Schizosaccharomyces pombe: one gene and its partners. The gene in region 1 interacts genetically with each later gene. Each region holds a gene or a part of one and is shown in the gene's direction. Other genes may lie near its edges.

Region 1 (3,801 bases):
TTAAGGATAATTTGACACCAATCCTCATAGTTCCAATTATTCCTTCGTTCATTAGTCTTTGACTTTGTTGATTCCCTATACCATTAATACATTTTATTATTGGTTTTGTGAGTGACGGCTAAGTGATTTTCTACTAATTAAACCCCCTCTTCTTTTGGGCATTTGTCTCTCCTTGTTAATTAAACTCTTTACATCTATGAATGATCTAGTCATATCTTTTTTTATTTTATCTTATTTGCTTATCGTTTTCTGCTTGACCAACTTATAATGGATTACTTTGTTGTCGTTGAATATCTGAATAGTAATTTTTTTCTAATACGTACATAATTTTTTGAAAGACTCATTCCTCGTATTTCCTCAGTAAATGTCACTTTTTTGGTGTACATGTAGATCGACCAAAGTAACCTGTTGCGGGCGACTTTTGTAACTTGTTATTTCTACTTTAAATCTTTTTCTTTTATGATGTTAGGGCGTTGGTAGGGGTTGTAACGTAAAAGGAAACAATTTTTGATATTTTCTCTACGGCATGTGAAAAGTATTACCCAACATGCCACGGAATTCTACGCTGTTTCAGTAATAAAATTTTATTATTATTATTATTATTATTTTTTTTTTGAAAAGATGTAATAAAATGCTTATATTTATAGATTACAAAGAGACAGTAATAACGTTACTCAGCTAACTAAAAAAGTGCAAACTAAACAGCGAATATGGCAAAAAACAGTCATATTTAAAAAAAAAATAATAATTTGAGAGGGAAAAATGGAATAATTTATTTAAAAACAAAAGATACCATAAAATCAATTAATCTACACATAAAATTTACAACTAGGATGTTATTTTGATAAAGTTTGTTGTAAATTTTTTGGTACTTCTACTCATCCGCTATTAGCTTGAAAAACAAAAGTAATTACTACCGCTTTATGGCCAACTAGTTTCATAGGGAGGATGACTGCATACAAAAACGCTGAAACCCTTTCAAATGAGTCTATAAGACAGCAGTGGAAAACGAGTATTTCAGTTTTTAGGTACATTGCAGTGTTATAAATAATATGTGTTTCTTTTCAGATTTTTTTTACTAGTCAGTTATTGTTATACCAATCAATTCCTGGTATGTTTATATTAAACAACAAACAGGACACGAGGAGTCCTTGAAGTATTACTACATTTCCAGTTCAACGATCTTGTTTCAAGGTAAACAATGTTAAACATTACTGCATAACAAAAATCTAATGACAATTGAAGCAGCGTATATAAAGCGATGCATAAAGCCCTTGTTAGGAAAGGCTCTACTTGCGGCTTCTTAATTAGTATTGATAAAATCTATTTCCATGGACATGCAAATATCTCGCAAGATGGATACATCGATCATTCTTCGGCGACTTGGATACCTCAGTCCCCACAAAATAAGATAAAGAATATTGGGTGTCGGTAGTCAGTATCCTAATCCATCAAAAAATTACGGACATTGCAGACGCTGATCGGTAACATACCAAGAAATTATCTGGTAGAACGCTTATATCCATATTTCCGATGCAATCGGTTCACGCCTGTTACCATTGATCGCTAAAAAATGTATGCAACTTTCCATAAAGGTAGTAAAGACATGACTTATACGCCGGATATATGATGAGCAATTTCATTTAGTAATTCTTTATTGTTTTGTACGTTTTAAAAGTATGACGAAGCATCTCAAAAGTATGAATTGTCGGATAATTGCAGCATGTAAATAAATAGGAGGATTCTTTTATTAAAGTCGACTTTAGGAGAGAAACAGTTTTTGTGCTTTCCCTCCAAGCATAACAATTTGACGTTAGGTTTAGCAGGTCGTTTAGATAAAGAAAGACATCCGCCTCTTTGTAAATCGCTTCAACATCAATTGTAAGTTGCTTACATCTTCTACGCGCCTCCACTGTATACTTATCGGGATCAATCAAATGGTTTCGGACATTTACTTCCTAAAGTAGTGTATGCTACGCTTCGTTATATTACATCTTGGTAAGCATGAAAATGTATATAAGGCGAGTGTTGTTTGCTATTCGATTAATTTCTTCCATCATCACAGTCACATTTTGTGTGTTGACATAAAAACTTGGTCAGGTTCTGAGTTTCGAAAGGTTCATTTTTTTGATTTTTAGGTGTTTTCTTTAAAGGATCCTTGTATCTCATTTGTCTAAAGGCAAAGACCATTATATCTATAGAAAAATCATTGTTGCATTTTCGTTTTACCACTTTATACATCCTATTGTTTGCTTGGAAAAAGTAAATTTTAATTAATCGCATCTACTTAATCATGTCTGCCGAAATTAAGGGATCTACTCAAGTCAAGGCTGGTCTTGCTCAAATGCTCAAGGGTGGCGTTATCATGGATGTCGTGAATGCAGAGCAAGCTCGTATTGCTGAAGCTGCTGGTGCTTGCGCTGTCATGGCATTGGAGCGTGTTCCTGCCGATATTCGTGCTCAGGGCGGTGTTGCTCGTATGTCCGATCCCTCTATGATCAAGGAAATTCAAGCTGCTGTCTCAATTCCTGTCATGGCTAAGGTTCGTATTGGACACTTCGTCGAGGCTCAAATTTTGGAAAGCATTGGTGTTGACTATATTGATGAGTCTGAAGTTTTAACGCCTGCTGATGATATCAACCATATCGAGAAATCCAAGTTCACTGTTCCATTTGTTTGTGGCAGCCGTAACTTGGGTGAAGCTCTGCGCCGTATTTCCGAGGGTGCTGCCATGATTCGTACCAAGGGTGAGGCCGGTACTGGTGATGTTGTGGAGGCTGTCCGCCACACTCGCCAAATGCAAGGTGAACTTCGTCGTGTGAAGTCTATGTCTCCCGATGAGTTGTACACCTATGCCAAGGAGATTGCCGCCCCCATTGATTTGGTTAAGGAGTGTGCTCAATTAGGCCGTTTGCCTGTTGTCAACTTTGCTGCTGGTGGTGTTGCCACTCCTGCTGATGCTGCTCTCATGATGCAACTTGGCTGTGATGGTGTTTTTGTAGGATCTGGCATCTTCTTGTCTGGTGACCCGGCCAAGCGTGCTCGTGCCATTGTTCGTGCCGTTACTCACTATAACGATCCTAAGATTTTAGCTGAAGTTAGTGAGAACTTGGGCGCCGCCATGGTTGGTCGCAGCGTTAGCTCTTTGGAGGAGAAGGAAAAATTGGCTACTCGCGGGTGGTAAATATTAGAGAAGGATTTATATTCTCCGTAATGCAGATGTCATTTAATGTTTAATTTTATCTGTTGATATTATTTTTACTCACTAAATAAAAAGTTTTTTTTTGTTTCATTTTGATTTAATCTCCTAGTAACTTTGAATTCATCATTGTATTAAGTGTTAGCTTAGTCTGGAATTTATGACTAAAGTCGTAAATGTTTGTAAGTCAGGTCAGATTCAAAACGATGTTTGATTCAGTGCGTTATAATTTCTTTGTGTTTTAGCAAATGAAGTCTTTTTAAATGTCAATGAGTCGTCTATCTTTTCTGGTGATTATTACCACTCGATCTTGATGTGCGCCATCCTGTTCAATATTCGCTTGCCAGTTGGTATCATCAAATAATGATTTCACTATTTTAGCTTGATGAGTGCTACCGATTTCAAAAACTATTAAGGATAAAGGTACAAAATCCTTGGCGTTTCTTTGTAACATCCTTTTTATGTACTGACTAAATTTGTAATAAAACTCATTACCTCCGTTTTTAGCTAAAAGAGCCAGCTTGGGCTCGTATTTGCGCACAGAAATGTCGGTTTGTGCAGCAAAATCATCATCAGATATATAAGGAGGATTGCATAGCAAC
Region 2 (6,015 bases), on another chromosome or scaffold:
TGAATTGTAATCCCTACTTTCTATTTATGAAAGTCATCAACATCTAGTGTTTATAAGATTTACTTGAAAAGCAATGATTTTACATTCTGTTAACATAAACGTTTATCATTGGAAGGATCACTTCTTGTGGTAGTTTGTTTGCATTTTCTGACAGCCATAGTTGTATAACTAATATACGCATAAAGAATGCGATTTTAACAAGTTTTCAATTGAATGAATATAGAACTCTACGTATATTATCCAATTTAGCAAGCGTAATAGCAATGCTGCAATTCTGATAGTAAGTATTGACAACAAACGCGAAGCTTATTAGCTGCTTACTATTTTGTTATGTTTTATCAAAAAGAACTCAAAGACATTATTTTTTCCTATCAGCTGGCTGATATTACTAGCACGTTGTGTAGTTGTTTACCCTATGGGCTCTTAGAAAAGCGGACTTAAGGAATTTCGAGAGTCGGAAGCTGTCCACCGCAAACATTTGGGTAAAATCGGTTTTTGCGTCAATTGTGAGAAATCAATTTCAAACTAATCGTAATGTTTGACTCAACAAAAAAATCACTGCATTCGATGTCGGATTCTGCGAACCGCTTCCAGAATAAGATTACATCGAAATTACCAGGTAAGCATATTTCCTTTGCTTTTTGAGACATTACTAACAAAATGGGATTTATAGGTGAACATGGCGAAGATGCTATGTATGATATTAGATCCGTTCATGGAACCGGGCCTCGTTTATCAATAAAATATGTCGATGTTACAAAATTGCCTCCTCCTCCAAAACATGCTTCACAGTTGCGTGCCGGTGGTAGTAGTACTGGAAGTACACCTAGAACGGCTAGCCCGGCTGTAGGAAATCAAGATTATTCGAAACCCTCTTATTCGCAGCCTTCTTATTCCCAACCTTCACAGCCCCCCAAGGAACCCGCTCTTCCTTCAAGAGGGACTCCTTCACTTCCTAGTCGACCAGGGAGTCGTCCGTCCGTCTTAAATCAAGAACAAGTCCCACCACCTCCTGTTCGTCCTAATGTAATGTCTCAGATGCCCCCACCTCCCTCCTACAGCTCTTCTGGTTCTTATTCCCAAACTTATCAGTCAAACGCTAATTATACTGCCTCTTCTCCTCTCCCTACAGCTTCTGCAAATGCACCCTTGCCGGTTCCTCCTCCCCGAAGGGTTTCTCAAAACAGTTCATATGCATCTGGATCTGTTCCCGCGGCGACTGCTGCTTCTACAGCGTCGCCTGTTAAGAAACCACCTCCACCTGCACCTCCAAAGCCAAGAAGACTTGCTGCCCGAACTTCTAGTAATTCGTCCGGTGTAAGCTCGCCAACTTCTGTTCCACCTCCGGTTCAAAGGAATACTCGACCCAACCTATAAACCAAATTTTTGCTTTCTATTTTCTTTCTCTTACTACACCATTATTACCTAGGATGGCCTATTTAGCATACTAGATGTTATTCAATGTTTAAATCATAATCTTCTTAAATCAACTTTCCTACGAATAGTCGTACATACTAGGTAATTTGACAATTTAAAATGAAAGGTATCATCAATGTAGGAACGTTCAAAAATCTTAAATAAGGTACTGCGAAGTCGACATGGTAATTTTCTTTGTAAATGTCATAATATTTACTTCTGCATTTAATGACATACATATTATACAAGAAGAGTAAAGAACTTATCTGTTTTAACAGTATTCACCTTCAAAGATCTTAGAAAATTGGTTCAACTGTGATGATCTTTTGACGAAAGAATGTTAGAATGACTACGCCATGAGAACCTGTTGAATATCGTAATATTTAAGAAATAACTATACCAATATATGTATAGTGTAGTATGGCCTAGATATGTACCATACTTTTACAGATTTGTCTTTTTGTTTTGGGTTAGTCCCAATTGTTTATCTGTAGAGCGAAATATAGATCTTTCTTAGAAGGTGAATTGCTTATATGAGTCGCCCTATTGAAATAGCCAATGTGTCTTCTGGAAACCGTAGAACGCTCCCAGCACTTCATGGCTCTAGTTTTTCTAGCCGCTCAGAACTTGACAATAATACAAATTCAAAAATATCACGTCGCTTAAGAGAGTTAGTTTGTCAACGTATGGGTGAAAATCCACTTCGACTTCGACAGTCGTTTCATGAGACAATTTCTAATGATAGTTACGGGAATTCAGAGAAATTGGTATTTAGGCTAATTGTTTGGCTAATTTATTAACAAAATTATAGGTGATCAGGCCCTGCATTTGTTGTAATAGCGTCCTGCGCTACCCTGCACAAGCTATGTGCTTTCGTTGTTCATTATGTATGACTGTGAACGATGTTTATTTTTGTTTAAGTGGCTCCCAAATAAAGACAAAAGCTTCAACCGATGGATCACAATTTATCTCAGTTGAACATTTTGTTGAAACAATTCATCAAACACGAAGTGCCTTGCAACTTGCTAAGCAGCGAACTGGCAACGTTCAAGCTATTGTGGCTGCAGGCTTACCATTACGAGAACTTATATCCTTAGTATTTGGAAGTCCACCGATATTGAATAAACTGTTCTCGGTTAAAAATGGTTGTTCAATCCAATCTTCCGGACTAAATTATAAGCTCATTTACCAATTGTACCATGATATTACAAATTTAGACATTTTAATAACAAATGAGTTGTTAAGAGCTATCGAGAGTTTACTTCGGAGACCCATGCTATATTGTCATGATCCAGCGGATTATCAATATCTTCTCATTCTTTTGGAAAATCCTTTGTTGAACTCAAAATCAAAGAATATAGTGAACAAGAGTAGCAGCATTTTGAAGAGGATTTTGGGAGTTTTATCTAACTTGAACGAGAAGACACATCATTTTTTTATTTCTTGTTTTAAAAAACAACCTTACAACAATCCTAAGTTTTTTCGAAGAAAAGTCGATCTCATAAACAAGTTTATTGGTCAACGATTAATGGAAACTTACAGTAGAAACAAAAGGAAGCACTACTATAATAATGACTGGCAAATTAAGTCAGCAGCTATTACTATGGCCTTATTATACTCTGCTAATTCGCAAATGAGACTGATAGACAGATCTTCATTTTACTGCATAATGGCTGATTTCATAAATCTTTATCACGACTTTGAGTTATGGGAGCAAAAAATCAATTGCTTTTGTTTTTGCCAGTATCCTTTTCTTCTTTCAATGGGTGCTAAAATTAGTATTCTTCAGCTTGATGCTCGGAGAAAAATGGAGATTAAAGCAAGAGAAGCATTTTTCTCTTCAATTCTTTCCAAAATGAACGTTGAACCTTATTTGATGATTCGTGTTCGGCGAGATCGACTGTTAGAAGACAGCCTAAGGCAAATTAATGACAGAAATAAAGATTTTAGAAAGGCATTAAAAGTTGAGTTTTTAGGTGAAGAAGGAATCGATGCAGGAGGATTAAAGAGAGAATGGTTGCTGCTTTTAACGAGGAAAGTTTTTAGCCCTGAGTTTGGATTATTTGTGAACTGTGAAGAGTCTTCAAATTATCTATGGTTTAATTATTCACACAGGTCGAAAGAAATTGATTACTATCATATGTCAGGTATATTGATGGGAATTGCAATCCACAATTCAATAAATTTGGATGTACAGATGCCCAGAGCTTTCTATAAAAAACTTTTACAGTTACCTCTAAGTTTCAATGACTTGGATGATTTTCAGCCTAGTCTATATCGAGGATTAAAAGAGCTTTTACTATTTGAAGGAGATGTAAAAAATACTTACGGTCTTAATTTTACAATTAATCTCAAAGCTGTCGAGGGCTTTCGCACTGTTGAGTTGAAAGAAGGAGGCTCTGAATTGAGTGTTGATAATGAGAACAGAAAAGAATATGTTTTGAGGTATGTAGATTATCTCTTAAATACTACTGTAAAAAAACAATTTTCTGCTTTTTTCGATGGCTTTATGAAAGTATGTGGAGGTAACGCCATATCGTTGTTTCAAGACAATGAAATCAGCAAGTTGATCAGAGGAAGTGAAGAAGTTATTGACTGGGAGCTACTCAAAAATGTCTGCGTTTATGATTTTTATGACCAAAATGCGATTTCAAATTCTATATCTGAAAGTGAACCAAGTATGACTGCATCTAAATATCTCTGCCACTCTTTCGTATCAAAAAGAAAAATAATACTTTGGTTTTGGGATTTGATATCACACTATTCGCTAAAAATGCAAAAACTTTTTCTCATTTTCGTCACAGGAAGCGATCGCATTCCCGCTACTGGGGCACATAATTTTCAATTAAGAATCTCAGTTCTCGGACCTGACAGTGATCAACTTCCTATCTCTCATACTTGCTTCAATCACTTATGTATTTGGGAATACTCCAGTAGGGAAAAGTTAAAAAAAAAATTAGACACGGCGTTGCTTGAAACTAATGGGTTCAATATACGCTAGTGTTTACATCAGGGTTCGCAATTCCTTACCTTTTACTACTATATACATATATCTATTTATTTAAGATCTAAATTAAATTCAACATATTTTAAGGTCTACATTAGCACTAATGGACCTTTATAATTTATCATATAAAATGGGATCGTAAGCAAATCTTTACATAATTCAAATAAGGATGAATATAAAACGTGTCTCTATACAATTTGTTTTTCTTTTTTGAATTGCTGAAATATCTCTTCCATCCTGTCTTCATCAGAGTCATCATCATCATATTCTTCAGCTGAATTGCTTTCCTGTTGCCCCTTGCTTTCAGTTCGCTCTTCGTCAGTATTATCAGAAACATCGTCAGCGTATTCTGAGTTTATGGTTTGTTTATCATGAATGTAGATATCATCGTCTAAGTCAGAATCATCACCTATGAAAGGATCAACGAACTTATCAGATTCCAAATTATCATCACCGTCGTTCCTTTGTGAATGTACACATATCTGACATCGTGGATCCAGGACATGTCTTTGTGCCTTAGAGAATTCATTAATGCCCTTAGTTTGTTGACAAGCGGTACACCAAATTGAATCATGCTGTTTGGGCTGGCAGGTACGACATATCACTTTTGGGTCTGAAACGCTAACCGTTCTCCCACGAACAAATGTAAACGTTTTGCTCCATTGAGTTTTGCTGTAAGAGTCTATCCCTTTAACCTTTCTGCATCTCATACACATAATTAAACAATCATTATCATTTTTCCCTTTTGAATTCAATGTACCCCGGTATTTTTTAGCATGTAGTTTGCAATCCTTCGGATGCTTTTTAATTTTATATTTTCGACTCTTAAAATCCATATTTTTTTATTATTATTAATATGGTAACAATACTCTTATAAATGAATATATGTACTGAAATAATTTTAATTAGCTGCTGACGTTAGAAGCATTAAGTAGACAATACCTTTAATGAACAAAATGTGATAGCCTTGACAACCAAATAGAAGAAACATACAGGCTTAATCAGGATTTAGAAAAAAAAAACAGTAATACAAGCCGTCCTATCAATTGTCATTGAGATCTTTACGCTGATCAGGCTGTAAATGCATTAATATAAAATTTACTACCGTTCGGTTCGATTAATAGGTGAATCAATGATATTAAAGCAAAAAAGAATACATATATTTGTTGATTGCTTCATGTTCTATTGACAATGAAAATTGCACATATTCAAAGGGTTGTTTTCAAAATAAATACTGCTTCCCATTCTATTATTCTCGCCTTCAAGTTTTTGATTGCGAATTATTCTTTGAAAATAAACGGAATAATAAAACTTTAGATAGCCTACACTTTTCCTACCTTAAATGGAATTGTATGATTTGTAAAATCCCGAAGAATGTCAGAAGCTTCTAAACAAATTGGAAACTGGAATTTAATTTGCGCACTTCCTACTCCTGCTACTTTGTAAAAGTTAAAACCTCTTAATACCAGAGTTCTCTTTTCAATCATATCGTTAAAAAATTAATGTTTCTTGAGTAAATCTAAGGTCGTTTTAGCTGATTAGTATCTATCATGAGTGAAATTTCAAACCGTTTACAAATTTTATTAATTGAT
Region 3 (3,418 bases), on another chromosome or scaffold:
GAATAACACAAAAACATCTGAATCCATAGAGGGTTGGATCATGCAAGGATGTACCGCGAAGGAAGTAGTCTGGTTATGAATAATAGGTCCAAATTCTCTCAATGTGTTTCTTCCACTTTCCATATTCCATACTCTTATTCGATCGTCGGTACCACAACTTGCCAAATATCGAGCATCTGAAGTCCAAGCTAATCCATTAACGGTGCCGTAATGAGATATATTTGTCTGGTTACTGGGTAAATACTTATTATGTAGATCCATACATGCGAAGCTGGATGATACTTTACGAATGTCCCAAAGTCTGCAAGTGCCATCTGCAGAGCCGGACGCTAACACGAATTCATTCTTAGGACACCAATCCACCGCAAGGACATTACCCGTGTGTCCAGACAAACTATGAGTATAACTACCACTTTGCATATCACAAAGCCGAATAGACGAAGACCGGTAGGCGGCTATCGTTAGATGAACAATCTCAAGAATGAAGAATATAACGTACTGGCAATTAAACAATGTGATGCAATGGGCGACCATGCATGTGAATAAATCATGTCCTCCATAGTAAAAGTGTAAGCTTCCTACCAATATTAGAACATTGGTTAATTTGCGATTTCTACTTTTATTACCTGTAAAGTAGAAACATCCCAAACCTTGAGCGTATGATCGAACGACGAGCTAGTAAAAATACCATTATCAAACGGAAACCAATGCAAATCTGTTATTCCAAACTTATGACTCGTTCGACTAAAACACCGCAAGTTAGCTATTGATCACTAGTGTATATATTGAAATTGTCATAAACTAGGTAGAAAATGAATGCTTACGCAGGAACTGCATTTAAGGTATCCAAAATTAAATCTTCATCTTCCTTTTGGTCAATATTTTGTAGGTCCCAAACATTGATAGACGAGTTGGCTCCTCCAGAGACCATGCTGTCAATAGAAATTGTTAACCAAAAATTGAAAGCTTTGATAAATCAACGATATAGGTCATACAGCTGATGAATTGTATTATCAATGCTTAGTGCATTTACGGATCCTAAAATGCCCGCACCGTGTCTACGTTTAATTTTCACATCCGGATTCAGCGCTAACCGTTGAAGACGATGCTGCAGTAGTTGCCTTCGAAAAGAGCTATTTGGCTCTACAAATGTGAGACTTGAAATCCTTATATCACATAATCAATTGCATTACCTTGGCCCCATTCTCGTGCCAATAAAAAAGAATTCATTCGATTTCACCTAAGAAATAGACTCAGATGCTACAGTAAGCAACTGACAGCTTAAAACAACCCGGTTTTTAAACCATGTATAACAAATTAAGTCTAAATAAAATTACAGCTAGTTTAATATGAGCGGTAAATAATACTGTCAATTAATCAACTTCTATGTTTAAATAGCAAACTCAAAGGTAGTTTCCAGGAAACAATAATAAAAAAATATGTTTTTCGACGTTGGCTAGACGCACTACTAATAACGGTCGTGGTGTACGAGATGGTATTGGCAGACGGTTTATAGAACTCAACCTCAACCATATGTCAGTTATTGAAATTAGATCGTACCAGCACTGGATCTCAACGATCCCTAAGTCCGGATATCTTGCAGTTGATTGCTATGCCGATTGGTGTGGTCCTTGCAAAGCAATTTCTCCCTTATTTTCACAATTAGCATCGAAATATGCTAGCCCCAAATTCGTTTTTGCTAAAGTAAATGTAGACGAGCAACGTCAAATTGCCTCCGGGCTTGGCGTCAAAGCAATGTATGTGTTTACCTAATCCGTCACTGTACCATTGGTTTTGCTAACATTTTAGGCCTACATTTGTTTTCTTTGAAAATGGCAAACAAATTGATATGCTAACTGGAGCAAACCCACAAGCTTTGAAGGAAAAAGTTGCTTTGATTTCCTCAAAAGCCACAGGAACTGGCGCTCTTGCTTCTTCGTCATCGGCACCTGTCAAGGGTTTTGCTAGCTTGCAAGGCTGCATTGAAAATCCCCAATTGGAATGTCTAAATCAACAAGATGATCACGATTTGAAAAGTGCATTTAACAGTAATCCTTCCTCATTTTTAGAGTCGGATGTTGACGAGCAATTAATGATATACATACCTTTTCTTGAAGTGGTAAAGGTTCATTCTATTGCAATTACTCCTGTTAAGGGAGAAACTTCGAGTGCTCCAAAAACCATCAAATTGTACATCAATCAGCCCAACAATCTTTCTTTTGAAGATGCTGAGTCATTTACTCCAACTCAAGTCATTGAGGATATAGTTTACGAACAAGACGATCAACCTACAATTATTCCCCTTCGTTTTGTTAAATTTCAACGTGTCAATTCTCTCGTTATTTTTATTTATTCGAATGTCGGAGAAGAAGAAACTACTAAGATTTCTCGCTTAGAATTATTTGGTGAGCCTGTTGGTGATTCAAGTAAAGGAAAACTACAAAAGGTCGAAGCTTAGGTGCTTAACAATTTGTTAACTAAAATCATGACGGTTTACGAATTTACCTTTATGAAAATCTAGTTTCGTATACATTACTCGACCAATCTGGTGTCTTGATACCAAAGAATACTACAAACCTTTCATTTGAGCATTGTAATTGCTGACTACTCACGAAATGGGAATATAAATGGATAATCTAATTTATATAGAATAAAGATTTTCTAAGCGGTAACGTTTGATAAATAAAATGAATGTTTTTTAATTTTGTCTCACGTAGAGGAAATTTTGTGAGAAATCCAAAAATTCCACATATTAACACTATGATGACCTTTCCCAAAGCTGAATAAAACTTTCGCCTAAACGAATCATATCGCTACTGATTTCTTCAACATATAAGTCTTGAATTTGATACCATTTATTGGTAGAGGGGTTTCGAATTTGAATTCGGAAGTTATGAAATTCTTCTTCAGCATGTGTCACGGACTCATGTATAATATTAGCAACGAGGTTGTATTTCGTAGAGATTTTCGGATTTGACTGGATAAATGAGTCATCAATAAATGGGCTCATATCAAAATCATCCAAAGGAAATGTCACTATAGTTTGGTTTCTTTCCGTAAAGTAATTGTTTTTCATAAATCTTTTGATGTGAAATATAAAGTATGGAGGAGCCGTCATTAAATGAAAACGCCGTCGCATACCTGCAAGTTCTTGGGTATGTACCCCATTATATTTGTTAAGTATCTCTTTTAATTCTACTTGTGGGATGATATTACCTTCAAACTCATCTTGGAATATGGGTTTCGGAGGTAAATCAAGAGTAAGGTAAAGAAAAGGGACGACGTTAGTTTGTATAACCCTATCACCAGTAAACACAACTTGCTCTCCCTTTTCAGCATGTTGGCGAATTTTCTGTGATTCAATACGTACAAATCCTTGAAAGCTGTAATGTACAATAGAAGTAGGTTTTGCTATGGT
Region 4 (3,561 bases), 1.3 Mb from region 1:
TCATGAAAGAATACTGGAGATTTGATTCACGACTGTGGATGATGTTTACATATACTATTAAACATTGATTAATTTTGTAGACTAAAAACAGTAAACAACGTTATCAGCTTCAAAAAGTTTTTAAATTTGAATTAATAATTTTTTTATCTTAATAAATAAAGCTATACTACCAAAATTCTTCAATAATAAAAAAACCCTCAATCACCTACTACCGTCCTTTAATTACACTCTTCATCGGCTTCACTTCCTCGCCGAATCTTTGTTTACTTGTACCATCGGTGTTTATTGATTTTATTCGGCAAAATAATTCATCAAAGAAGAAGGGCAACACTTGTATGATTTCTTGGTATGACTGTACATTGGAGGAAATAATGACTGACCTGTTTTTCTTCTTTTTTTTTTTTTTTTTTTTTTTAAAAATTACCGGTCTTACGATACATTCACATCTACCGCTTGACAACAGCTGCAAATTTCATTACACTTGGATATGTAAGATGGTCAATAAAATCAAACGATTTTCTTAGGCTAGTCAAGTCATACTTACACAACAAATTGTCAAGAAAAATTACCAACCATCATCATATAGACACTGTATATAAGCCTTCGGTGAATATTTACACTAAACTAGCCGAACAATTTTTCCATAAGAAATATTATTTTATATTCAATTTAATCTTACAGCTCCTGTAAATAGCCGATCGTTCAAGTATATTTTGTATATTTATTTACTCGATTAATGGTATTTGTTTACTTTAATAATTATTATTAACGGAGATAAAAAGGTTCCTTTCTACTACTAGTCAAATACATAAGCTTCTTTAACAAAAACAAACCCTCGATTATGTAGAACAATGCTTGCTGCTATATTCTATAGTCCATCAGCATGAGCGTTATTTCTGATTCATAATGGTTTACCGAGAGAATTAATGGTAGCAAAATGACCTTGGATTTCAGGAGAGCCGATTCCGAATAGTTGGGATCTTGTTTGCTAAATCGAATGCTTAATTCTAGTAACTAATCCCATAACGACTGTTAGATTATCAGAATTTTCTTATTCTGTTCATTCGCTTCAGGTTAGGTTAATGTGACTGCTTCGTAGTACCGGATGGAAATAATAAAGGTTGCATTTTCCTTAGTTTATAGCCTACCCAACGCACACAAGTCAAATTGCTTGCAAAAGAAATTTCCACGTTTGCAAGTGCCAATGATTGTGCGAAGACTATTGCCTCTTTTGGCATGTAGTCATCTTAGTACTCTTTACTGCATTCTTCAACTTTGTGAAATTGCAGTGAGTCGGTAGGCTACAACATATTAATGTAGTTGCTAGGTAGCTTTATAGGATGAACGTGATTAGCTTGATGATATAAACTAAGACTTGTTTTACCATATTTAAATAAAACTTTGATATCAATCGATAATTCTACTGAAACGGAAATAATGTTGGAGAGTAGTGAGATACTAGTTGGTAATCTAGCACACAAAGCAAGTAAACTAGTTGGTTTAAAAAAAGGATAAATTTAAATCGTAATGATACTGATATATTGCTAGTTATATATAAAGCACTTTTAATCATAGTCTTGAAAGGTTTGCATTTTGTACGAGTGGAAGCATACTATTTCAAATGATATAGGCATGCGTTCGACTCATGCTGCTACCATGATGAACACGAGCCAGAAGGCTCAATATTCTATTAAACCCAGCTCTTTGAACCAATAGTTGTGAAACGAGAAACAAGTTCTGAACAGCAGTTTGTTTAAACATTGTTCGTGTATGCCTGGATAACTATGCTGTTGAGAAATTTTGTTTTTTTTACTAAAAAAATGTCGTGCGACTACGATTTCTCGCTTTGTTGAATAAATCAAAACACCATTACGCAGACTATACATGCATAAAGAGTATTGTAACCTTTTGTAAGATTCTTGTCATAGTAAATAAGATATGCTATGTTCCATTCTGTGCGTATATATGAGCAACATAATCATTGATATATAATTACATAACTAACCAAAATTTTTAACTTATGCTTTATTACAGTGCCTTTTAAACAGTTTATGTGTGCAGAAAACGAGACTGCAATAAACATATTCTCTATAACCGTCCGTATATAGTAATGTACCATGGTAACAAAACTATCGTACGTATTCTTCTAAGCAGGTAGTGCGAAGGTTTTGAGAGAATCATGCGACCAGTTGATTCTTCCATAAACCAACACCATGGCATCTACACAAGTTGTTTTTATAGTAACCTTATTTCTTTATTTGCTAATCACTCGCTGGAGAAGGAAGAATGAGAAATCTTTTATTGCAAGCGAAGAGCCAAAACAGCCCGAATGGAGAGATTATACTCCAGCAGAACTGAAGGAATATAATGGCTCCAAAAATTCATTGGTTTTTCTTGCTATCAAGGGAACTGTGTACAACGTTACAATGGGATCAAAATTTTATGGTCCACAAGGCCCTTATAGTGCTTTTGCCGGTCATGATGCCAGTCGTGGTTTAGCAAAAAATAGTTTTGACGATGAATTTATTCCTGATTCAGATGCAGAAGAATTGGATGATTGCAGTGATTTAAACGATGAGGAGAGGCAGGCTCTAAACGATTGGAAAGCATTTTTTGACCAAAAATATCAAGCTGTTGGCAGGCTGATAAGTCCCAGAGAGGCCAGAGCAGCAGCTACTATTTCAGAAACCGAAGAAAAAGTTGCGCATAATTAATAGCGACAAACCTGTTTTTTATGACTTCTTTCATGCTTATGGGTTTATGATCTTTTCTTTGGGATAATCTAGGACAAGTGGTATACGTTCCGCGTCCGAAGGATCAATCTGTAGTATTTGGGTACATTTGATGATGTGTTATGAAATTACTAGAAGCATGATTGCTTTCAAAAATTATCTTGCATGAAATAGAGGCTCTTAAGCAATGTTGAAAAAAGTCCTTGTAGCAGTAATTTTGGTGCCTTGATAAGGTTACGATAGCATCTTTTAAAAAACATTGTATGTCATTTCCATGTTTTTTTTTGACAATGAAAACTTAATAACCATCTGTGTCTTCTATTTTGTTGTAACATATATAAATGGTAGTAGATGTATGATCCATTTTGAAGAATTATTGTAAACCGTTGTTCATCTGATAATTATTAGCACAACTTTTCTCGTTTAGATAACTTTATTTCGTATTCGGAGAATCTTACCCTTACCCTTAAAATCCTTCGTCAGTAGCTGGAAGAAGGACAAAATTGTTTTGTCACGAACAAATAGGTGGTAAAAGAGTTAAAGCGTCATGGACGTCCTTTCGAGAGTCTTTGACAATGAAAAAGAAGAACTGGATCCTTTATTGAACAATCCACTTACAGCTAGTGAGTTCCGAGCCAAAAAAGCAGAACTGGAAGCTGAATTGGAATCTATTCGTAACGGAACTTGTAAAACTCTTTTAGATTTGGCAGATGAACTTAGAAGGAGTAGAGATGAGGAATTGGAAATTGCAGAGCGTTGGAGAACGTTTTTGGTGAATCGGGCACAAGAGGAATACGAAGTGGAGATGAAAGCAGCCAAGGAGGAGTAC

Evidence for each region.
Region 2: mutations in snz1 (region 1) and mug30 together harm fitness more than expected from each alone (negative genetic interaction), as found in Schizosaccharomyces pombe (one large-scale study listed by BioGRID).
Region 3: mutations in snz1 (region 1) and txl1 together harm fitness more than expected from each alone (negative genetic interaction), as found in Schizosaccharomyces pombe (one large-scale study listed by BioGRID).
Region 4: mutations in snz1 (region 1) and dap1 together harm fitness more than expected from each alone (negative genetic interaction), as found in Schizosaccharomyces pombe (one large-scale study listed by BioGRID).

Annotation. Positions count from the first base shown.
Region 1 is NC_003424.3:5,412,893-5,416,693, forward strand, and holds snz1 (pyridoxal 5'-phosphate synthase (glutamine hydrolyzing)), read left to right. Parts: upstream 1-2,045; 5' UTR 2,046-2,293; coding exon 2,294-3,184; 3' UTR 3,185-3,301; downstream 3,302-3,801. Other genes in the region: mtq1 (S-adenosylmethionine-dependent methyltransferase), read right to left, coding at 3,459-3,801.
Region 2 is NC_003423.3:3,686,590-3,692,604, forward strand, and holds mug30 (ubiquitin-protein ligase E3), read left to right. Parts: upstream 1-1,949; coding exon 1,950-2,183; exon of another isoform or gene 2,184-2,227; coding exon 2,228-4,417; 3' UTR 4,418-4,611; coding exon of another isoform or gene 4,612-5,259; 3' UTR 5,260-5,260; downstream 5,261-6,015. Other genes in the region: cyclophilin family peptidyl-prolyl cis-trans isomerase Cyp4, read left to right, coding at 1-10; SPOM_SPBP8B7.26 (uncharacterized protein), read left to right, coding at 535-619, 674-1,377; CLRC complex-Argonaute linker protein Stc1, read right to left, coding at 4,612-5,259; abz1 (para-aminobenzoate synthase), read left to right, coding at 5,974-6,015. UniProt on the Schizosaccharomyces pombe protein: Probable E3 ubiquitin-protein ligase. Has a role in meiosis.
Region 3 is NC_003423.3:765,594-769,011, reverse strand, and holds txl1 (thioredoxin-1-like protein Txl1), read left to right. Parts: upstream 1-1,521; 5' UTR 1,522-1,533; coding exon 1,534-1,757; intron 1,758-1,809; coding exon 1,810-2,458; 3' UTR 2,459-2,660; downstream 2,661-3,418. Other genes in the region: DNA repair ERCC8 family protein ckn1, read right to left, coding at 1-455, 500-578, 627-744, 825-932, 996-1,143, 1,194-1,230; ubiquitin C-terminal hydrolase Ubp10, read right to left, coding at 2,759-3,418. UniProt on the Schizosaccharomyces pombe protein: Has a role in cellular detoxification of alkyl hydroperoxide.
Region 4 is NC_003424.3:4,153,260-4,156,820, forward strand, and holds dap1 (cytochrome P450 regulator Dap1), read left to right. Parts: upstream 1-2,200; 5' UTR 2,201-2,213; coding exon 2,214-2,714; 3' UTR 2,715-3,061; downstream 3,062-3,561. Other genes in the region: Clr6 and Rpd3L histone deacetylase complex subunit Sds3, read left to right, coding at 3,280-3,561. UniProt on the Schizosaccharomyces pombe protein: Required for sterol biosynthesis. Functions as a positive regulator of cytochrome P450 enzymes erg5 and erg11. Function requires bound heme.